Linked DNA regions of Daphnia pulex. The protein of the gene in region 4 binds, or shares a complex with, the protein of the main gene of each other region. Links are inferred from orthologs where the notes say so. Each region holds a gene or a part of one and is shown on either strand. Other genes may lie near its edges.

Evidence for each region. The genes of interacting proteins can lie anywhere in the genome.
Region 1: chromatin assembly factor 1 p55 subunit (region 4) and myb-related protein A-like share a complex: the UniProt entries of both Drosophila melanogaster proteins name them as parts of the DREAM complex. The link is inferred for Daphnia pulex from reciprocal best matches to the Drosophila melanogaster genes Caf1-55 and Myb.
Region 2: chromatin assembly factor 1 p55 subunit (region 4) and histone deacetylase 1-like share a complex: the UniProt entries of both Drosophila melanogaster proteins name them as parts of the DREAM complex. The link is inferred for Daphnia pulex from reciprocal best matches to the Drosophila melanogaster genes Caf1-55 and HDAC1.
Region 3: chromatin assembly factor 1 p55 subunit (region 4) and histone-lysine N-methyltransferase EZH2-like share a complex: the UniProt entries of both Drosophila melanogaster proteins name them as parts of the polycomb repressive complex. The link is inferred for Daphnia pulex from reciprocal best matches to the Drosophila melanogaster genes Caf1-55 and E(z).

What each region holds. Positions count from the first base shown.
Region 1 is NC_060022.1:6,349,050-6,354,888, reverse strand, and holds the start of myb-related protein A-like, read right to left. Parts: upstream 3,846-5,839; 5' UTR 3,605-3,845; intron 3,525-3,604; exon of another isoform or gene 3,366-3,524; intron 1,884-3,365; 5' UTR 1,866-1,883; coding exon 1,632-1,865; intron 1,543-1,631; coding exon 1,393-1,542; intron 619-1,392; coding exon 386-618; intron 259-385; coding exon 96-258; intron 23-95; coding exon 1-22. Other genes in the region: zinc finger FYVE domain-containing protein 9-like, read right to left, coding at 4,495-4,647, 4,713-5,004, 5,067-5,313, 5,379-5,839. UniProt on the Drosophila melanogaster protein: DNA-binding protein that specifically recognizes the sequence 5'-YAAC[GT]G-3'. Component of the DREAM complex, a multiprotein complex that can both act as a transcription activator or repressor depending on the context.
Region 2 is NC_060024.1:1,149,030-1,154,852, reverse strand, and holds histone deacetylase 1-like, read right to left. Parts: upstream 3,846-5,823; 5' UTR 3,706-3,845; coding exon 3,654-3,705; intron 3,161-3,653; coding exon 3,132-3,160; intron 3,067-3,131; coding exon 2,983-3,066; intron 2,922-2,982; coding exon 2,804-2,921; intron 2,740-2,803; coding exon 2,564-2,739; intron 2,492-2,563; coding exon 2,312-2,491; intron 2,254-2,311; coding exon 2,052-2,253; intron 1,996-2,051; coding exon 1,746-1,995; intron 1,689-1,745; coding exon 1,630-1,688; intron 1,548-1,629; coding exon 1,394-1,547; intron 1,330-1,393; coding exon 1,103-1,329; intron 1,044-1,102; coding exon 958-1,043; 3' UTR 776-957; downstream 1-775. UniProt on the Drosophila melanogaster protein: Catalyzes the deacetylation of lysine residues on the N-terminal part of the core histones (H2A, H2B, H3 and H4).
Region 3 is NC_060018.1:4,494,704-4,500,545, forward strand, and holds the start of histone-lysine N-methyltransferase EZH2-like, read right to left. Parts: upstream 3,846-5,842; 5' UTR 3,496-3,845; exon of another isoform or gene 3,133-3,495; 5' UTR 2,932-3,132; coding exon 2,323-2,931; intron 2,158-2,322; exon of another isoform or gene 1,907-2,157; coding exon of another isoform or gene 1,865-1,906; intron 1,802-1,864; coding exon of another isoform or gene 1,799-1,801; coding exon 1,657-1,798; intron 1,586-1,656; coding exon 1,368-1,585; intron 1,305-1,367; coding exon 913-1,304; intron 853-912; coding exon 689-852; intron 574-688; coding exon 547-573; intron 456-546; coding exon 355-455; intron 298-354; coding exon 96-297; intron 36-95; coding exon 1-35. UniProt on the Drosophila melanogaster protein: Polycomb group (PcG) protein. Catalytic subunit of the Esc/E(z) complex, which methylates 'Lys-9' and 'Lys-27' of histone H3, leading to transcriptional repression of the affected target gene.
Region 4 is NC_060023.1:6,454,525-6,459,890, forward strand, and holds chromatin assembly factor 1 p55 subunit, read right to left. Parts: upstream 4,138-5,366; 5' UTR 4,000-4,137; coding exon 3,981-3,999; intron 3,919-3,980; coding exon 3,771-3,918; intron 3,702-3,770; coding exon 3,556-3,701; intron 3,496-3,555; coding exon 3,291-3,495; intron 3,218-3,290; coding exon 2,845-3,217; intron 2,775-2,844; coding exon 2,562-2,774; intron 2,498-2,561; coding exon 2,318-2,497; 3' UTR 2,158-2,317; downstream 1-2,157. Other genes in the region: apolipoprotein D-like, read right to left, coding at 46-183. UniProt on the Drosophila melanogaster protein: Core histone-binding subunit that may target chromatin assembly factors, chromatin remodeling factors and histone deacetylases to their histone substrates in a manner that is regulated by nucleosomal DNA.

The DNA of each region.
Region 1 (5,839 bases), on a different chromosome or scaffold from region 4:
AGCAAGATTGTTCAAATGGCATCTAATTAAGAAAAATGAAATAATTTGGTTTGATTATTTCGTTGTTGTGGCAAAACTTTTCAATAAATTCTAACCGGAGTCGAAGCAAGAGGGTGAGGATGCTGTTGGTGATCATCCACTGCAGGACGAACTCGCTTCCGGCCACGTCGTTTCCCTGTGTCAATGATGCTTGAACCATCTGTTTCATAGCGCTTTTTCATAGCCGAGTTCCAGTGATTCTTGATGGCATTATCCGTTCTGGATAGAGAAATCAGACAAAAGATAACGGGTATGTAGGCATGAATAAAGAAAAGTGTCAAGGCAAGCTCCTGTCACACCCATGTGATGAATGGATAAATCGGCAAAGCTCTTTTTATGACAATACCTTCCAGGTAGAAGTTTGGCGATCTTGGCCCATTGATTTCCGTATTGTTCATGAGCATTGGCTAGCAGCCGGTCTTCTTCCTCCGTCCAGGGTGACTTGTTGATGTTAGGATCGAGATGGTTGTGCCATCGTTCTCGGCATTGTTTACCTATCCGGCCATTCAGATGCTTAGCAATCTGCGTCCACTTCTTTGGACCATAGCGATGTACCAGTTGGACCACCAAGTCGTCCTCCTGTGATAAAAAAAAGGATGATGATTCAACTCAAAACTTTGACAGCATAGCATTTCTATATTCTATTCATGTCCACTTTTGGGGTGAGGTGGGCTTTGGGGGATGGGGAGAAGATAGGTGAGAAAGAGGAAAACATAAACTTGAAGGGATTTTTTTAGAGGCATCTTCTCACATATCTGTGTGAGAAGTGTGAACACGAGAATAATCCGGGCTCTTTACTTTTAAAAAGACCAATTCTGGACGTTTACAATTGAAAAGCAACTGAAAATCCGACCATTATTAGATTTGGTGGAAGGGCCAAATTCACATCACTTGAGACTATAATTTCACGTTTCTTCATTCCTCACCCAGCCGCCTTAAACCCTTGCGGCCCTTTTCTTCTTTCAATTTGGACATTCCCTGCTGTTTCACCAAGCCATAGAATTTGGTTTCCTGTTTTAAACTTTGCTCTCTCTCCCCTCTTCAAACTCCCTCCTTTCCCCCCTCTGGCATCCGGCATCCTCTCTATTTGCCGCAAGTTCCCTCCATTCTTCACGTTTTCTTTGTGATGACATCGTTTCTGCTCCATACAACACAGCATAAAACATTCAAGGTAATTATCAGGCCGTACGATCTTGAGAGGACACTTTCTTTTAATGGCAAGGTAATCGTCAAGCGGAAATGCTCGACACATGAACCGGAAATAAGGCTTTCATTGAATCAGTCACGGAATTTTCAAGAAGAAAAGAAGGAAAATAAAATAAAGACACAAACAAAGGTATAAACAAATTTTACCTCTTTGGTCCAAGGTCCCTTAACCAGCTGAGGATTGACGACTTTTGTCCATCGGTGTTGGCATTGAACGTCCGATCGATCTTCAAAGAAGGAGGCTACGTTCTCCCAAATTTCACCGGTGCGTTCCACAACTCCTTTAAGTTTTTCATCCTACAAAAAGGGCAAGAAAATCATTAACTCTACAAGACTTGGGGCTGAAAGTTGAAGGGGTAGGTAGTGGGCGGGGGAGGCAAACTCACTTCGTCCTTGGTCCATCTCCCGCGGTTCACCATTTTTCTGGCTTGGGCACCTCCTTTGGTTTTTGTAGCAACCCGGGAGGTGGCTGTTGAACTCGCTTGGTGGTGTTGGGCGCTGCTGGAGGCAGTGGCGGCGCCGTTCGGCTGATATTCACCATCTGAAATATCCGATCCAAAGTCCTCGCCATAATCCGAGCCCCAACTGTTGCTATCAGCGTCCATTCCAAAGTCGTTCATCTCGTCTACTTGGCAGGTCTAAAAAATCACACAATTTTCTGGGTTATTATTTCACGTCTTACGGTACAGGTATGCGTTGACAATGGCTCCAGTTCGCCCATTCAAATTCCTACGGTAGGGTTTTGGACAATGAATGGATTGCAAATGGAAAAGAAAGTTCTTCACGCTCTTGTGTGCACATGGTTGCAAGGGAGATTATCCGGCGACATGACTCAGAATACATTAGCTCTGTACTGTAAAAAGACCGAAGTAGAGGAATAATAGAAGAAGAAAAAAAACAGTAGACGACTGGGCTCCACTGCAAAGACGGAATATTTTCTTCCGTCTCCAAATTCACCCTCGTCGCTCTTATTCGATCTCACATTTCTTTGCCTGATAAAAGGAATGTTTCCCTATGGTGGGTGGCGCGATCTAGAACCTCGAAGAATCTCTCAAGAGAGAAAGCCAGGGGGACGGATCGATAACCGTGGGACAGGCACAAGGTCTTTCATAATCGGCCATGAGTGAAAGAAAAAGAGGAAGTCTACCACTACGACGCTGTATGCACGCCGGCATTGAACATCTGCTACAGCTGCTGCCCCTCTCTTCTGAATTCAGCCCCCCTCGCTCGATTCCAACACAATCTCCCCTCTCTCTGCAAGCAAAAAACCCTTGTGTTCCAACATAAGAGAGCAACTTTTATTTTGATGCCATCTCGACGTCCATATTTACCCCTCGTATATAAAAAAATAGACGGCGTCGCTTGTTCTGTGCTCTCTTGACCTCTTTTGCTGGGACTACACAGTGAATCAAACTTAAAGCTTGTCGATGGTACCCCCCAACTTGCCCGGAACTAAATAAAGACAATGCCGTATACGGGCGCGCCTGTGTTTAGCCATCAAGCAGCTGCTGTCACCCCCCTATACAAATCAGCCTTCACTCTAGTGGAGGGGAAACCAGGTCTAACACAATTATCGGGCAGGTGGTCAGCACCAACATGAAGCGAATTCCCTATTAAGATCAAAGTGATAGATGTGCTTTTCGGTAATAATGAAAGACCCGTGCCAGAAGGACAATGGAAAACGACGAACAAACGTAGACGTCTCGAAGAAATGCTAATGACCAATGGAGAGAGGCCCGACTTTCCATTTTTGGAAACAAAATGCTGAAACCAAAACTTGCTTCAGAAATGTTTACCAATTTCGAAGAAATTAGGAAATGAAATGGACTGTCGGAATAAGAGTTACTTTCCATTGGGGAAACGATAACTTTTGAAATTGAATTAAAGATTTCAAGATAATAAGAATCACTTCACAGAAAAAAAACCGGCTTTGTTCTTATCTCGGTTATCTTTGACTCCCAAACACCGATTTTTTTAAAGTTTTTTTTTCTACCTGCAGACAAGACAATTGAAACCATATTCTTCTATCGGTTTGGATTAAAAGAGGTAAAACTCTTTGTCCAGGCGAGACTAAGACCTTTTCAGCTCTCCTGAGAATTTAAACATAAAAAAGGGTATACCTGCTTAAGTAAAAAAATCGCCAGAAAGTCGACAACAGACTTGACTTATTTTTCTGAAATTGCAATACAACTTTTCGAAAATTTCTTTGTCCTAAGAGAAAACTAGCATCAAAAGAAAGCGAAAACTCTGTCCAGACTGGGCCAAACGCACAACTCGAAAAGTCTGCTTTGTTGCTATAATCGTCCCCACCACTTGTGGAGGGAAACAAGGCATGCTAGATAGAGATTTCACGTTTTACCTTGAGTATTGAATCGTAGTTGGCAACGGGTCGGGTAAATGAGTGATGTTTTACCTCACCATGGTGAGATGATTGTAAACAAATCCACAGAATCTCACGACACTACTGTTTCGTTTCAATTACTTAGCACTGTTTTCAGAAAGCGGACACACCGCAGCTGTATGTTTTGAGCGACTACTAGGGAATGGCGGCCATTGGAGTTCCATGAGGCGGGAAGCCTTGTTGTCAGTACCCTTCCCCTTTTTTGAAAAAAAATGGCGCCCAAGCTTGGGGATGAGGAGCGTCGCCTATTGGTTCGCATTGTTTAAGCTTTCTGATTGGCTGGCTTTACGCAATTCAAAAGTTTAATAACAGATGGCGGAGCTGATTACGATTGGCAACAGCTAAGATAAAAATAAAACTAGACAAAATATAATACTGCATCTATGCACTCGTTTTTACTTATCTTTGTATGAACTCATCTTATATTCTGCATTTGAAATTGATAAAATGTCTATTTCAATGGGTTTTTTCATCTTGAAAATGAGATTAGGTGCGATGATTTTGTTTTCTAATTTGCGCTCGCGTTAAGGAAACGCTAACATGACTAAAATCATTAAATATTAATTTCAAAAATTGTTAGGAAGTATAACTTTTCGAACAAATGGAAAGATAAGATGACTAACCGAAGTTTATTGGTATTTAGACGAGGGAAAATGTTTTCTCTCAAAAGATAAGGAAGAGGGGAATGGCAACCAGTATATAGAACCTTTGTGATAACAACAGAGTAACAAAATTTTTGGATAGCAGCAATAAGAAAAGCCACTACTTCATTGTTATACAAATATTACAAAGCCAAATCACATTTCGGTTACAGCTGTCGCATCAGCATCAGCCAAAGAAATCGCCATTTACGGATGAACGACTTGAAACCAAAGTTCCACTATACAGGGAACTCCTTGACCTGAAGATTCTCGATGTAAGATTGGGATTAGCGATGAATCCAGTTCCTCGACACATGCATTCGGCAGGGAGGTTTGTCCGGCTCCTGCTTGATATTCCACCTAGACAAAGCCGAACATGGTGGATGATTTGATATTTTAAGAGAAAAAGGTATAATCTAATTTACCGAATCTCCGTCCAAAGAAACACGTAGCCCAATCAAAGTGTGAGGCTCGAGGCTTGCGAGTTTGGCGGCCAGAGCCACTGATGCAGCTTTGGCCAAAGTTTCAGCGAAACGTGTGATGTCTCCATTATCCTCAATTCTATTAGAGGAAGAGCGTGCACTGTCCTCTATTTGAATAACAAAAAGTTCTGTCCAACGCAAAAGTCTATGACCCTCGCCTTTAAAGTCACGCGGCTGCATCACTCGAATCGATGATATCCCAGTGAAGCTTCGACCATCGATAGGAGATTGAACTCTTTATCAAACAAGCAATTGTTAATTTACAAAATTTTCAAACAATATGCATTGATAAATTACCCTAGATTAACAGGAGATGGTTCTTGATCTACCCATTTAAGTGTAACCGTTTCTTCCGGTTGATCATCGATTATTTTCCCGCATTGGATAGTGTAATTCTCCATTCGAATTAGTGCTTGTTTTAGATTACTGAGCATATCTGGAAGGAGTTGTACCATAACTCCATCTTCAACAATCGAAGAGCGACCACTTATACCACTGGAGCTTTTCAAAGCACCATTTAATACTAAGAAACTTGCTCCAGTAACTACGCAAGGGAAGAAAAAAATCAGTAATTCTTTTAATTATATTATAAAATACCGAATAACTAACCTTTTCGTGGCCGTGTGTGGATGTTAATCGCTTGAGTTTGATAAGATCCATCATCCAATTGAAGACAAACGAGATGAGCATCTGCTTGAGGACTGAACGATGCTGCAAGTGAAATGACATGATCGTTAGACTGGGCTAGTGCTTTACACACTTGCTGATAACGAGATTTCGGTAAAAGAATGTTAGTTTCTTTTTCTTCCATGTGTACAACAAGGCCGGCCACCGCCGGTAAGCTGTAGCTAAAGTTCCTCATGTCCTGGAATGGAGGGAAGAGAAAACAAACAGTTAGTAATAGAAATATTTGGAAATTGCACGAAGTAATTACAGCCAAAAGATTGACGATAGTATGCCCAACTTCGCCGAAAACTGATTTGCGTTTGCGGACGCTGAATAGCGGACAAGGATAATAGCGGAACTCCGCACCCAGCCGCAACAAAAGTCGTAATGGAAACACTTTAGCC
Region 2 (5,823 bases), on a different chromosome or scaffold from region 4:
GACTTCATGCCAGATTGGATTAAGTACTGGAGAAATCGGATGAACGAACTTGACCTAGAAGAGGAAATCAAAACTCAGGAAACCACGCGGTTTAAACGCAACAAACACGAAAGCAATTCATATAACACGTTCACATACATTACTTTCCGTTCAGTTGGACTTTTAATCACCACTTTAAAAACCACTTTTTACGAAACCGACGAACTTAAAAATTATCACAATATAATTTGCAAATTAATAACTGGGAGCCGTGACTGAAACAATAACGAAGCACTAGAGGTACCACCAGTTGCCTTAACTTATCGGTTATCCATATCGATGAAACCTTTAGAATTATTTTTTTATATTATTGAGGCCTATAAAAACATAATGATTTAAGAAATAAGATAACTAGATAACAATACTAGTGACTAGTACTGTAACCTAACATATGTAATCTAACCTATGTAACCTAACACCAGAATAGTAAAATTTATCATAGTTTTGAAATTAAAATATGCACTATCCCAATTCAAGTATTTAATATTTATTAACTTCAACCTTAATCCTAGTAAAACCTCAAACTTTTCCTACGGTATTCCAACGTTCCACCAACTAGGTTGGGCTTACTGATCGCTGATTCTCCCTACAAAATCATTCTTAAAAATAAACGCTTCTTGCCTATTAAAGCTTCTGTTACGCTACATGTTGTTGAATCAGTATTCCAGTTTTAAAGTATGCACTCAACATAAGTGAAGTGCGTATCTTAGGATGTAGAAAAAAGACCAAACTAAAATGAAAAACTTAGTAAAAATGTATTGAAGACTGAGAACCCGATTGAGGGTATGCAGTTGGTGATAGGAGCCGGAGTTTACATTCTAATTAAGATACACGTAGAAAATTGGATGTGAATGAATCTCGAAGAATCACCATCAGTGTAAAATTAGCGAAAATGAAATAAAACCCTAATTGGTATTTTCAAACTTTTTCTCCTTTACTGCTATCGGCGCAAACCGGAACAGGGGAGCTTAATTCATGCGATGTAGATTTATCTTCTTCGGGTTCTGAAAATACATATAATTGGTAAGAAATCTGAGATAACCACGATTACGTGAACACTAACCTTTTATTTCATTCGCCATGGACAAAGCACTACCTTCACTAGAAGATTCACCACTAGACTTCAGTGTTGTCTCATTTTTCTTGTCCGAATCCTTTACAGTCTCTTTTGAAGTACCTTCCTTATTCTCGCCATTCACTTCTTTGTCCTCCTTTTCTTCCTTTTTGACCTCTGCAGCACCCTCAGCTGTTTCGGTTCTTGGTCTTTTGCGATTTGCTCCTTTAAATGATCTATATAGTAGAGAATAATGATTGAAAAAATGAAAAATTGCACGATTTATTAATGAATTCAGACCTTTGATCTCGGCGGGAATCCCCTTCATCTTCGGAATCACTGTATTCATTGTCTGGTGCAATCCTTTTATCTGATGCTCGTATAGATATACGTTCATCGGGATTAGATTTATCTTCTTCGTCGGAATCTTCGTTAATGGCATCCTCGGGAATTGCTGTCAGAATAATTTTGGATCAGTTAAACGCAATGCAATGAAATAATAAATACAATTGAAGAATTAAATTTAATGCAAGTACCTTGCATTTGGACTCCAGGAGCATGAGGTAACATGCGGAGGTTTTCGAAAAGACGAGTTCTAAGAAAAACATGTCACTCAACATATAATTCTTTGAATAAAACACTAAAAACTTACTTGATTTTATCTAAATATTCCGGAGTATTTTGATTTGCCATGTTAGACGGACTAATGTGCAATTTAAAATCGGGACCAAAATATTCAAAATAATCGTTGTAAGGGAGTTCATTTGCAATGTCATTTCCCAGTGCCACTGCGGTCTCGTAAGTCCAACAACGGGCAACATTTCGAATAGTGTAACCACCACCTCCAAGCAGCAGTAAAGGCAGATTATGTTTCTTAACAAAATCAACACATTTTGCGTGACCTAAAGACAACTTGATAATAACATGTATACTAAAAACAATAGTTCCGAACACATACCTTTCAAAGTAAGATTAAAGCATCCCAAACGATCACCAGACAAACTATCGGCACCGCATTGGAGAACCACTGCACTCGGCTGATAAGTTTCCATCACTTTTGACATGATAGGTACGAAGATTTGCTCATAGCTTTCATCATCTATTCCATCTCTCAGGGGGAAATTTACGGCATAATATTTTCCTTTGCCTGCACCAATGTCCTACAACAAAAGGATAAATAACAGTTTCTTATTCAAAATTTAGTTCAAAACTTCTTACTCTGAGATCTCCAGTTCCAGGAAAATATTCTCCATATTTGTGAAATGAAACAGTCATTACACGATCAGTAGTGTAAAAGGCTTCTTCCACTCCATCACCATGATGAATATCAATGTCAATATACAAAACACGTTGGTGGTATTTCAGAAGCTCTAAAATTGCCAACACTATGTCATTTACCTAAAATATGGAAAGAGATGAACATTAGTTAGTAAGTTATATCCAAAAACTGTTATTAAGTTATTCATTTACATAGCAGAATCCTGATGCCTCAGACTTTTTGGCATGATGTAATCCCCCAGCCCAGTTCACAGCTATCTCAGTTGCTTGCTTGTTGAGCTTCACAGCTCCAGCTACAGAACCTCCAGCAGATAATTGACAAAATTCGTAGAGCCCATCAAAAACAGGACAGTCTTCACCCACATTAACTAAAAAACAAACAAATAAATTAATTCACAATTTCAAATTGATCAAATTGTAAACACATCTTACATCTCTGCATCTGTTTATTGTATTCTGTCATATTGTCAGGTCTGATGCTTCGAAGAAATCGAATGTAATCATCACTGTGGAACTTGGTCATTTCTTCAGCTGTGGCTTTGTGTGGTCGCTAACAAAAAATAAATTCAATTAAACTGTGGCAATTATCATCTAGCTTCTTGAATTTTTACATAGATTTCCATTTTACGGTATAGCCCATAATTCAAGAGCAAGTTGTGGGTCATGCGTATGCGATGAGGTTTCATGGGATGTCCCTTCAATTTCAAAAATTTATTATTAATTACAGTTTCATTAACATAAATGTGTTCAATATTATTACCTGTCCATAATAAAAATTCCCGATGTCACCTAGGTTAATAAAAAAAGGAATTACAAATTTAAGAGTTAAAATGAAAAGTCACCATAAAAATGCCAACCCACCCACCAAGTAGGACGTCAATTATACCCCCGACAACCTCATCGACAAATTTGACATGAAAATCTTAATAAAATTTTGAAGCAATTCAAAAATAAAACCCAATTTAAATGATAATATAGCCACATATCTTTCTTTTTTAATACTATGTGCTCTTCAGTCTTCAAACATCTATAATTCTTTGTGATACTACTGTGCATAAATGACGTCCCACTTGCCAAATATTGTTACTTCCACATAAATTTTGTACATCAAAATGTCACAATAGATAGGTATATAAATTTAGCAAAAATCAAGTATCTTTGGGAATTTATAAAATAAATAGAATATGACCACTGAAATAATTAATTTAAAAAAGGACGCCGGCAGTCAAACACGCGACATGAAACGTTAATTATACATGATACAATTATTTTTCTAACTTACTGTCATAATAGTAGCAAACTCGCTTTCTGCTGTGACTTGGTTGAGTAGTCATTTTCGAAATTGAAAATCACAATTCTTTATTAAAATTATTTTTACTTTTCGACAGTTACACTGAAAAGAAAAGACACCAGCATCAATTGCTTTCGCTGCGTCGAATGCGAATGCTTACATTTACAGTGTTGCCAAATCTACAAACTAACTACGATAGCCCAAAGCCTCAAACGCGAATTTGAGGAAACATATTTGCCAGCTCTCAAAAAATCTCGAATCTCCTTCGATTCGAGTCGAGTCCTTACAAAACTATAAAAATGATGATAATAAGTGGAGGCAGAGTAATGGATAATTATCTGTTGCCCTGGTGGAGGAGTCAAGGTAAAGTATCACGTCAAACTAATTGCAAGAAGCAATTTTTCCATGAATGTTGTTGATAGGATTGAATATGTAATAATCAGTTTTCAGAAGTCGGAACCCTTCTGGGAAACATAATGTTTAATAAATATATTGGAATTTGATTTTTTTGGAAAACCCACACGAAACAAGTGATTTTCAAAATGAAAAAATTACGCAGTTATATTTTTTAAATCTTATATTATCAATTTCCAAATACGAAGGTATTTGAAATAAACATATTCTAGTAAATAATAAATTTAGAAATTAGGGATTAGGTTAGGGACTAAGGAGTATGGAACTAGAAACCAGAGCCATTAAGCTGGAGATCTAACGATCTATCAACTCCGTTAGACGTTTTCAGAGATAAGGAGATGGGCTCGCCGGAAGGAGCAGCGCAGTCGAATTCGTCTTCCGAGAAGGGGCAGGGGGAAAAATGTCGAAATCTTCGTTTTGGTTTCTTTTCTAAATAAGATTTGAAAAAGCCACCAGTCTTAGGTTGCGCCAAGCGGACAAAAAATAAAAATAAAAATTTTTGGCTGATGTAGGCTATTACAGATGTTATTCTTTCCTGGTCGGTCTGAAAAGAGCTGAATCTCTTTCCAGTCATCGATGGACGGGAAGATATAAAAAAATCTAGAAGAAGAAGAGAAAGAGGCAGATGACAGTTTACTTTTAGTCGCTAGAGCCTAGATGCCAGTTTCAACGCGCGCAGTTAAAATTGGTGAAATTCGACCGACCCACCATCTACTGTCGAAAAAGTAATCGAAGCCATCTATTGGCGAAATTGGAACTAATCCTCCCGTATGCCAAAAAACCTGTAGGGGAGACCGGACCCCTCTTGGACAGTCGCGGTTTTTCCCGCATATCTCCCGATCCCCTTAGGCAAAAGAATTTTTTTTTGGCTAAGGTCATTTTTTAGCCTTGCCTCCACCCCCTTGATTTTTTTAAAATGTGTAACTTTAAAATTTAAGAATTTACATTGATTTCCATTTTTCGGTGTTTTTTACCGAGCCGGGGTGAAATTAGACAGGGGCCTGTACCAAGTTAGACGGGGTTCGAAAAGGTGGAAATTAATGTCTTTAAATTATTTTAAAAACCTTGTATGATAGTTCTTCCAATAATAAATAATTTAAAAACATTTGTTTAAAAATTTTTTTACTCAAACAAACTTGGAGCAAGATCAATAATTCGGGCGAAAAATTTTGCAATAATTTATCGTGTTTTTTCTTCCTCCTATAACTCCCGTTCTACTCTCGGGAAATTAATTAAACTACACAGGATCTAGCATCATCACATCTAGAACAATGTGAAATCTAGAATTTTAAAGCAATTTTTACTATATTTTAAGACACTGTCCAACTTGGAACAGTGTCCAACATGGGTCCGGTCTCCCCTACAGAATCCCTACGGGAAATTCGTCTGTTTGGCTGCGTCCTGGTAAGTGTTGTCCCCCTATACCCTAACCACGGGCCTGCTGAGACCAACCACGCACCTACTTCTGTCATGCTTCTGCTCCCCCAAAAAACCCGTCGCCCCAGCATCATACGGGCCTCATGGGACTACGCGTTTCTTTATTTTATTGTTGCATGAAAGACATTTGTATTGATTCAAAGTCAATCCGCTTTTGAATCAATTCCTACATTTCAGCGGTCATTTCAAGTCGTTTCCCCACCCCTTCGAATCCAAAACCGATCCAAGGGGAGGGTTCCCCTCTAGTCTTTGTTCGAAATCCCCTTGCGGTGGTTTTTCTCGACAAGGGGAAACGGATTTTGAAGGGGTC
Region 3 (5,842 bases), on a different chromosome or scaffold from region 4:
TGGAGTCTGACTTTCCACGACGACCTCCATTGCACCTGCAAACAACGACAAAACAGTTAACATCGGCCACAAGTAGAGCACGTTTTAAATTTTACATTCGATTTCTTTGTCGTCTTTAACAGATTCCGGCGGATTTTGGTTATCCCCGTTCCCATTTTTGACGCTACTGTCGTTGCTATCTTCGGATGAAGCTTCATTACCCGAATCTAGCGAAACCGTTTTTCGGATTTTAAGAGGCTGCCCATCGGCTTCGTCACCTTCTTGCGCTGCTTGTGCTAATCTCTCTAACAGACCTTCCTGTAATAATGAATTTGAATAAAGACTGCTGTTAAACGTATAAGATCGGTATCTTACCAAGTACATGTAGCATTGCGGCCCACAAGGCTGTTTGGGAAGTTTGAGATCATTGCATTTTCTCTTTTGACTGTTGGGACCAGGATGATATGATTGTAGACCTATAATTAAAAACAGGTCAGTCATTTCTCTCTCACGACAAGTTAAAAAAAAAAAGACAAACTAAAAGTGGTGAAACAAACAGCAATTTACCTCGACGAGGCACCGCTCCTTGAGTTTCTTTAGAGAAGAAGATAGCGTCGGAAAGTTGAGTGAGAATTAAGTAAAGAAAACGTGTAAAGAAACGTTCAAATCTAATGAAGGATATTACTTGTAACGAAGCAGGCAAACTTACGATGAAGAAAACAGTCGTATTTAAAACATCGGCGACAAAACAGGGTGTGAAATGAGTGCATGGCTTGCTCCCTCTGGACGGAGGGAGCCTTCGGGCCGTCAATATTTGGAGTGCACTCGCTACCCAGAGCGACAGGATCAGCTCGTTCCGTCAATTCCATGTACCTGTATGAAAAGATGTTGTTTTATTATCATTACTTTGTATTTTTGTTTATCTGGATATACCTTTCTCTCAATTCTTCTGGGGTTCCTTTGTCTAGGAAGACAGAGGCGATTGCTTGAAAAGCAATGATGTTGGGTAGATCCTTCGCTACGGGCTGGACAGAGTCCTTGGGTGGTTTGTCTTTGATACTTGTCATGGCATCACGTGCTGCTTCGTCCAGCTTCTCAGCTTTGACGGATTTCGAACCCAAATCAGACCTTTCATCTTCATCACAATAGGGGACTAAGGCAGTGACTAGTTCCACAAAGATATCGTCATCGATGACGCCCCCTTCGCGATCTCCGTGAACTTTTCCATCGTAGTTCTTGATCAATTCTTCTATAAACGTACCATCCTGGTCCAACACTTCATCACCCATGTAAGGGATGTTGTGTAGAACTGTTTCATCCTCCACCTGTAGATGTGTATATGCTAGTTTCCATAAAAACAATAGGAAAAGAACATTTCAGTTTCATACCATAAAGTTCTGTTGGAGACCAGCCCATGAATACATGGTGGGGACAGGTGCTACTGCATTGATGATCTTAACAGGTACTGCTTTCTGATCGGTGTTGACACCCAGGCAGTGGTCAGGTTTGACTTTCTTCATGCACTGACTGTGCGCTGGCCAATCTTGGCTGCATGCCCAGAATGCTTTGCTCACTTCCCATTTCTTTTGGTTGGCAGCCACCCTCTCTGTGTATAAGGATTAAGGAAGATTTATTACACATGTGTTCTACCTCAAACTTTGAAAATGCCATGTATACCATTAACGTTCTTTCTGTTTTCGGACCATACAGCACGAATCTCATCAGCTCGTTTATACCTCCGAGACTGGCGAATTCGCATATACTCGGATCTCACACGCCGTTTCCATTCGGCCGAAATCTTGTACTTGGGTGCTTCATTCTGTGGAGATAAACAAGATGTTAAATTTGTATGAAACGGATGTCTAAGGAAACCAGATCACGTTACGGGAATAGCAAAATCAGGTGTATCGGTGGTCACGTTTTCCATCAATAACAATTATAAAATAACATAAAATGGGGGGATTCGTCAACACTTGTTTCCCAACTGTCACGCGTGAAGATAGTTGACAGCTGGAACAACATTGCCACTTTCCGGTGAACGATATACGGCCGAAATAACGACAGATCGTCGGTGAACATTCTTTATTACCAATCTCCGTCCAAATTACTAGTTATCACACCATTTTGTCGTAAAATAACGAGAGCCGGATGACTATTTGTCTGACAACAAAAATTCAAATGGCAACCCCGCTTCGAAAGGGAAGTGAAAAAGAAATTTCCCACGAAATAGCGCGGGATTTCTTTGTTCCCAAAAGAAAAAAATGCCCCGCGTTAATGATGTAAAAATAGGTAATATGATTCCATCAGCAACCAAAACATCAAACCGTTTTCCAATCAACGTACCTGATTATTAGGTGGCGAATCTGGAACACATTGTGGCGAATCAGTAGTAGTTGACGGTTGCACTGTAACGTTGGTGGGTTTGATATCCTCTTCATTGGCCTTGGATTTCCTTCGGATGACCATGTTATTGTTGGTCGGAGGTTTCTGAGATCTGAGTGCCACTTTGCCCTTGTTGGCATTTCGTGTTAACGTGTGAGTAGTTGATCCTTGAGCTGCACGCGTGGCCATTTTTGAGGCGAGAGAAGCTGCTCCTCTGAGACTGCCTGGCTGGACAGACGAAGAAGTAGCCGGTCGCTGATGAACCGCAACCGTCTGCTGCTGAGTGACTGTTGGCGTCTGCTGATGATCCGACGACTGGCGGTGGCGTCCCGATTTGGCAGAGGCGCCGCCGTTTTGGATGTTGTTGTGCGGCTGCGAGCAAATGTGACTGCCGCACGACGATTTCAATTTTCCGTCTTCCACCACGGCGTTGGCCCGACACCAACGATAGAAACACCGCCAATAAACCGTATTGCCTGAGCGTCGATTGATTCGATACTTGCATCCATCAATGACCAGTGCAACACCACCCAACCGATTCTCCATAAATTTCACTTCTTGGGGCGCCATGATGCGGCCAAACAACAACAACAACAACGAAAAACAAAACAATTTCGTTTGGCCGACACTTTTTTGAAACAAAACAAAATAAATTTTGTTCGTGAAGCTCAAGTGTAGGAAATAAACAATTTCGACACTGTCATTTTTGCCGTTGAAAAATTCTTGGCAGCAGCTCACAAACTTGCCAACTCGACGATGTACCTCGACAACCTGGCGACCAAACGGAGAAATGAAGAGCAACGAAAAAAAACACAACAAGTTGACGGGCACAAGATTAGAACTCGACAAGTAGAATAGACAACAAGTTTCTTATAACACACTCTATCCCCCTAGTCGTTTTTCGACTATGCACGCCATTTCAACATACACACGCCAACCAAGGAAGAAAAGATATTTTAAAAGAAGCCTTAGGGATTGGGCTGCTGCTGTTGTACGGGTGGTGGTGGGTTGTAATTTTCGACCCCCTCAAGGAAAAGGAAGGGGAGGAGTGGAAAGAAGAGAAAGGATACATACGGAGAAATTGGGGAGTTGTAGGAGAATGAGTTAGTTATTATACGACCTTCAAAAACCTACCCACACAGCCGTTTGGTGTGTGTGTGTTGTAGACGTGTCACCCTGGGCAGCAGACGGATCTCTCAACAACACGAGTTGCGTTTCTCCAAAGATGTGAGCGTGAGAAATGGCCGCTGCTGCTGCACCGCCCGTTTTCCTTCCTTTGGCATTTCCTCTCTCCGTAGATTGTGTGCGTCTTGCAAGTTATTTTACCGCGCCTTTTTGCTTGTAGTTTATTAACTGACTCTCTCTAGTCAGATAAGATAACCGGGTCTTGAACAAAAACGCACGAGTCCAGTGGAAAAATAATATAGCTGGTGGTGGCCAGGAAAGATTTTCTAAACCGTACAGACTGGACGACCGTTTGGTTGTAACTAACTACCCAGATGGAACTGGGGTGAAAAGTCGAGACACGTGCCGTTTTTATTTTTGTAATCGGGGGGAATTTTTCAAATGAATAGTAACATGTATAACTTTATTTGACATTGAATAGGTGCTGCTGCTCCTACGTGTACATCAATAGAGTCCTAGTTTTTTCGTACCATTCCATCGAGAGATTTTTGGACCGGGAAACAAATTTAGTTGTGCAAAAGTGATCAATGTGGGTTAAGGTTGTTTTGGTTGAGGCTTTCGATTAACACCTTTTATTGCGATTGATTTTGTGTGTCACGAAAACCCAAGTACCTTATCGTTGTTGTTGCTCCAACGACAGCCATCTAGCGGTCAAATTTGAAACTTTTATTTTTGAAATTTCGAAAATAACCGTTGACCGTTTGTTGGAATGTATACCGACGATGGGTGTATAATAGAATTCATTTTGTAAATAAAAATAAATGAAACAAAAACTCGATTTGACATTCTTGCATAATTGTAATGTCTAGATTGCGCACGTGAAATGCGCTACATTAACCGGTCATTAGAGAACACACGGCACGTACAGTTTTGAAATTTTTTCCGCAGATACACACACATTACACAGGCATTCCGTTATAGAATTATATATGGAGGGTAGGGAGGATGACAATTTCTTTCGATCAACAGAAAAAGAATTTGCAAATAGAAAACCGAAACACGCAACAATTGAAAAACAGAATTTTGAAAGTAAACGACAGAGAGAGAAAATCACTTTTGTTTCCATAATTCCCACAGAAAAACACAAAAACCGAAATAAAAAAGTACAGAAATTCCGAGTGCATTGCAACTCATGGACACAAGTTACAATTTAGAAAAAGGGAAACTTGACAAAAGAAAAAAGTTTTATCCATCACTCGGTTTTTGTTTTTTTGCCCTCCCCTCAACCAATCCGAAAAAGAGACCCCCGAAATGTTGACAGAAACACAAAAATTGACACACTATTAGATTTTTTTGTTGTAATAATATATATATATATATATATATAATATATATAAAGATAGGGGGTGTAAAACATACGAAGAAAAAGGTGTGTCTTCCACTGGGATAAAACAATCATCAATACGATTGCCACACTCACACACGGTAAACATGGAAGGAGCTCCTGCCCAAATGTTTTCAAACCCTTCCATCACTCTCTCTCACTCTGTCGTTCACAGGAAATGGGTTGTCCGTCGTAAAAATCACAAAAGCATACGAAATTGTTTTCTTTTTTTTTTTGTTTTTGTTTGTTTAAGGGGACAAATTTAAAATTATGAAACGAAAAAAGAAAAAATCATGTCGAGATCGACCGTCACATGCTCGTACGGGAGTTGTACGGGAAATTAATTTTTAAATGAAAAAAAAAATTGAAAATATTTTAAACAAATTTTTTTAGGTCGAGCAGGTGTGACGACAAACGATACACGGACAATTTCTTGATAGAGGGCTTCTCTCTAAATTTTTACGAAGAAGGAAATAACCTCGTCGAAATAGTGGGCGATTTAATTTAACAAACATTCTCTTTCCTTGTTGTCGGGATTCAAAATAAAAAATACAGCACAGAGAAAATGCGTCTTGGACGCCACCGGCTAAACACAGCAAATGAAAAAATAATGTTCCCGCAAAGAAAGTTTTTGAAAAATTTAAAAGAAATGCGCGCGCGCCAATTTCGAAATGGGACTGTTTAACAGCGAGGCAAATTCCGCGATTCGAGTTTTTTTTTTGTTTTTCCTTTCAATTTGAACGAGGAAAATGGATCATATCATGTAGAACATCAAACTCAAGTGTATATACTATGTATATATATATATATAAGATTCGGTCGGGAGTGTGGGGGGGGGGATAGATAATTATATAAAGACCGAGTAGAATAATCGACACTGATGCTGGTGATAACGAAGAACTAGTTTACAGTTTCTTATTCTGTACAAGAATTTTTTTTTTTAAAGGGTGTTGGTTGTTTGCTGCTGTTGTT
Region 4 (5,366 bases):
TAACGACCACAACACACGGTAGAAATTACAAAATTAATATTATACCTGAGCTGGATTAAAGCTGGGCTGCGTTGGGTATTTGGGACAATCACCGGGAATTACAATCTGGCCCAAAACGAAGGACGGTATTTCGACTGTCAGTACAGCAGCCAGCAGCATCAGCGCACTAAGGTTCTTTGCCATTGTGATGTTTGATGTTTTTGTCCTGGCGTGTGTTCTTCGGATGACAAACACCGGCGGTCTAATCCACAACGACGAGCTGCGCGTATCTTTTATACACTAAGACAAGAAATTCACGCCTTGCGCACCTTGTATAACGTGATAACAAAAAAGAACGCTCCTAGCACTGGGTTAGTAACCGATGTGCCAACAAAGAACCCCGCTGCTTGTTTTTTGGAGGGGAGGATAGAGAAGATACGAGTGTGGTGGTGGTAGACTCTCCTCAGTGGGGCGTAATTGTTTCACGCAGGTCAACTCTTCGAGACCCTACCCTTCTCGTTTCTTATAGCGCTGGATATAATCAATTCCAGCATGCTGAAGAAGAAGAAGAAAAATATTCCTGCTTCTCGAATGCTATCGAAAGGCACGATCGTCCAGCCACTTGCTTCACAGATTTTTCAACGTGCTGCTGCAATCCGTCTCGTTCTTTGTGGCCGCGTCACGCCCGCTTCGGAGGTCGAGCTGAGCTGTTATTGCTGCCTCCCCGCTGAGCGCGAAAGGTTGATTCGGCTGGAAATGGGCATCCATGAATGCCACATGCAGCTTTTTTGGGGAGGGAAAAAACGAAATTCGTGTTTATTATGATTCAACCTTGAAAGTGGAAATTAAACCCTGGGGTTAAGAGACCAAGTCCCAGTACAGCACCGCGAGCCGTACGTAACACCACGCGTCAACGCGCTCGATCAAGGTCCCGCAAGGCCAAAGATCGGGTAAACAGCTCTGTCGTGAGTTATTTTACTTGTATACCCCGATTGAAAATAAGCATCATCCATCTCTTTGATGTTGGCTTCCTCCAACCGAAAATGCATATCTCAACGATGGCCAGCGCTCTTTCGATTAGGTGATTAATGGATCTATTCAGTCAGGAAAGTGACTTGACAACCAGCACCGATAGGCCCAGCACCGACTTGAAACGCAATTTCCGTGTTAGAGACTAAAACCGAAATTAATTATACAATGTATTGTCTGGAAAATTCGGTAAATACCTTTATTAACAGTTAAGCAACCCGTGGCTTTTCAATGCGTAAAAATAATTTTATGATGAGGTTTCATTGAAACAAAAAAATACAAAATCGATTTTTTAAAATTGAAAATCAGAAGAGATTAACGATGCCGGTATTTTCAATGAATTTTATTTCAGTCGTTTGCGGATATTGGAAAAAAATATTGCGCGCCTTTGTTTTGGGCGTTTGGGTAACTGCCCTTGAAAAACCGATGCGTCACGTTTTTGCAAGGCATATTTCAACTGACAAAAAAGCGAAAAAAACAAACAAACAAAAACATTATGAAAATGTGGAATCGATTTTCACATTTCGCGATCCATAAACATAACAAATGTTGGCGTTTTCTCAATCCCAATACGGGGTCCAACCATCCAGACGGACCTTGGCCGAACACGGTGTTGAGGATGCTGCTGGAGTCTTCGTCATGCTCAACCTCAAGCGCTTTAATTGCGTTTTCAAGGTTGAATAATAAATAACATCGGTCCTCTACACTTATTCACGGGTAGGAGAGGAACTTTTTTACTGCCGCATGATGCCCACACCCAGCTGAAGACGATAGATGTTTACCTGCTGCTTGCTGGCGGGCCAGTGTGAGCCGAACAATGTTGATTCACGGTCAAGACGGATATGCTGTTGGCTTCTAAATCCAAACATCACAGATTAGAAATCCGAGTTCAAAGAAAACAGTCGAACATGTACAAATACAAAATCACGAATAATTAGAACAGTCGGGAATTAGGCAATTTACTGTTATTTAGCTTTCGAAATCTAATGATTGCGTCATAGGGTCAGGCGATCAAGAGTCGAATTTTGTTCTGAATAAGAGCGTCTTTCAACCATTTATTGAAATTTCATCACAACCCACTTAATGGACTGCAAATGGACTAGTAACCTAATTAACGGCAGTAATTAGAATAATTCAAATTGAACCAAATCGCGGAAAGCTATTTATTGAATACACAAACTTGGATCTCCAAGCGATGTAAGGGCCAAATTCGAAGATTTGAATGTTAAAAAAAAGATGAGCGTGTACGTGGGACAGTAAAGAATCAAACGATGAGAAATAGGGTATAGGGCGATACACTGGAAATGCATTAATTAGTAGGGGTTTCCAGTTCTGAGGCTGGCGTCTCAGGCTCCTCGTCGTTGTAAATATTTTCAGCCATTTGCCAAACTTGCATGATGTTATCCTCAGAGACGGAGCAGATGACCCAGGGCTCATTCGGGTTCCAGGAGAAATCAGAGATCTTGGCCGTATGACCACCGTGAATGAACTGTTGAGAATTCAATAATTAAACAGCATCCGAATCAAACAATCGCATCAATATTTCAACTTACCAACAATTCTGGAGGGCCATCTTCGGCATCTTCGGTGGATTGTTCTTCTCCAATTTTGGACAAGTCCCAGACATGCAAGCGTCGGTCGGTGCCAGACGAAGCCAAAATAGTCTCATTATGCGGTGACCATTGGACTTGAAAGATTTCATCCTTGTGCGACTCGAACGAATGTAATTTGAGTTTAAGATTTCTCAAATCCCAAAGAGCTACAGTCTAGAAATACAATTTGGAGACATGTTTAGTTGAGTAGAATAAATAGTAGATTTTAATATTAAATGAATACTTTGTCTGCAGATCCGGTAGCTAAAATAAATTCGGAGTAAGGATTGAATGACAGACAGTTCACTTCAGCCGTATGAGCATCCACGGTATGGGAGGGCCGGCTGGTGTTATTGCTGCGAGTATCCCAAATCATAAGCTTCTGATCATCGGCAACGGAACCAAACAAGGACTCGTGAAGCAAGTGCCAAGCGACATCTTCTACAACTGCTGTGTGGCCAGTGAATACGGTTTTGGCGTCGAGAACACGATTCTCTCTCGGCGATGCGTTAATATCCCACAAGCAAATGGTGTGGTCATCAGATGCTGACAGCAAGTGACCATTAAGGTTTGGATTCCAAGACAAACCGTAACCTTCCTTCTGGTGTCCTCTCAGACTAAAAAAAGATAATGTAGTTGTGAGTAACAAGTTTAGGTCATAAGAAATCATTTGAATAAAAAATGACTCACCGTAAATCAGGGTGGCACTCTCCACTAGGATCAGGGCGAGAAGGATGTTTTGTGTAGTCAAAGACCAAGACGTCAGATGAAGGTGTTTTAGTGGCAATCACACAAGGATTCTGGGGCATGTAGCGAGCCCTGTTGACTTCTCCTTCATGGTTGATCTTGATCTCAATTTCAATCTTACCACTCACTGATCCAAAGCCTCCAAACTCTGATAGAGATGAAGCATTAAAACAATAGTGCAACAGATTTGATCAAGTTAAATGACTACCTCCTTTATCATTGTCATAATGTGAAGCATCAAACTGAGCATCCTCATTAGGAAGCTGGACAGATGCAATCAAGAGGTGATTTTGTTCATCGCTAGTGTGAGTACCAAGGATGAGACGATGCACTGAGTAGTCTTTGCCTTCAGGCCTAACGGAGAAAAGAAACATTCAACAGTTAGAAAGAAACAATAAAACACCTTTGTTCTCAGTAATTTACCTTGTAACATCAGGAAGCCATTGAGCTGTAAGTGAAGGCCATTCCAGAGCATGTGTCATAACCAAATCATACAAAAATGGAGTATTTTTCTTCCAAATTTTGTATTCCTCGTTGATGACGCGTTCTTCCACTGCTTCATCAAAGGGCTCTAAAAAAGATTGGATTAAATTTCACTGTCATCCAATAACAAAGAATGATTTCAACAGATACCTCCATCTTTATCTGCCATCGTTAGTCAATCAAGTCCTTTACTAATGATGAACCGGCTGGAACCTGTCAAGCAATAGATTCGGTTAGCAGAGACTTTTGAGCGTGCTGCTTTGTTAAATGGCGGCAAAAACGAAAGCAATTCCAGTGGTGCCACTTTGGAAAAAGTCGAAACTACTTCAATAGTTTATTTTGCCGTTCATAGATGGCATGGTCATGTCTTTAAAGAAAAAAATCTTGAAAATAATAAAATTGTTGTCAAATTAAAAGAATTTGCCTACTTCAAAAGTCTGATTTAAAAATTAAATTTAATTAGTAATAATTAAAAACAATATTTAGGTAGGCCATGGGTGTTGAGAGATTTGTATGCCTGTGGGTAGGTCTAGGAAAAAATCTTCATGTAAGGCAGTGTAAGGCATAAAAACAGTTATATTGTTATAGGAATACAGTTATTTTTTCTAGAAAAAAATATTTGCTTTCAAAAATATATCAATGCTTAATTCCACAAAATTTTAATGGTTTTCCGATGCCCAATATGATTTTAACTTTTTCTCAAGCTTTTTCTGTTGCGCATAATTAATTTCATAGTGGTTTAGCGCTAGATGCCAAAACAATGGAAGGAAATTTGAAGGTGCTTCACCTTTGTTGTCAAGGTTAAAGTGATCTACCTGTTACAATGTAAAGGCGATTGGCGCTCTAGGAAATGGTTCACAGTAAATCATGAAGAAAGCCTCCTCCGGCCATCCGTTAAACAATGTAATATTTTCCGTCATCAGACAATCAAACCGATATTTGAACTAGAAGATAGCAAGACGAGTAAACCACTTCAAAATTCTCTTTCATTGCACAGTGTATTTTTTGCCATAAATTTAATTGAGTTCAGTATAGAAGTTGTACAGCGTTAATAGGATTATTTTTTACTGCGTCTAAGAAAAATTAATGATTTGAAAACACCGTCATTTCTTTCCATTCCTTCATAACGTATTTATTGGATTAAAATTTTCTGCTATCACAACATTCACTAAAGGCTAATAACGTAGTGCTTCAACCAAATGAAATATATATATATATATATTTCGCCGAGCATTACGTGTAGTATGAGGAGTATGAGGAATATGAGGAGTAATAATGGATGGAAATGCCGGTTGAGATATTATCATAACAATGGTCCAAAATTGAAGTCAACTTCTGTTCTCATTTCAAAAGAGATATTCCACAATTTAAGTTAGCTGTTGGCCTTCCGTTCATTTGAACAATAATTCATTGTAGATTCGATCGGACCCAATATATTCATCATCATCATTCATCCAGCATGGTACGATATAAGCTTTTGCACGAAAGACACCCATACACCATATTAACCACGTTAAAGCATCAGAGTTATGTTAA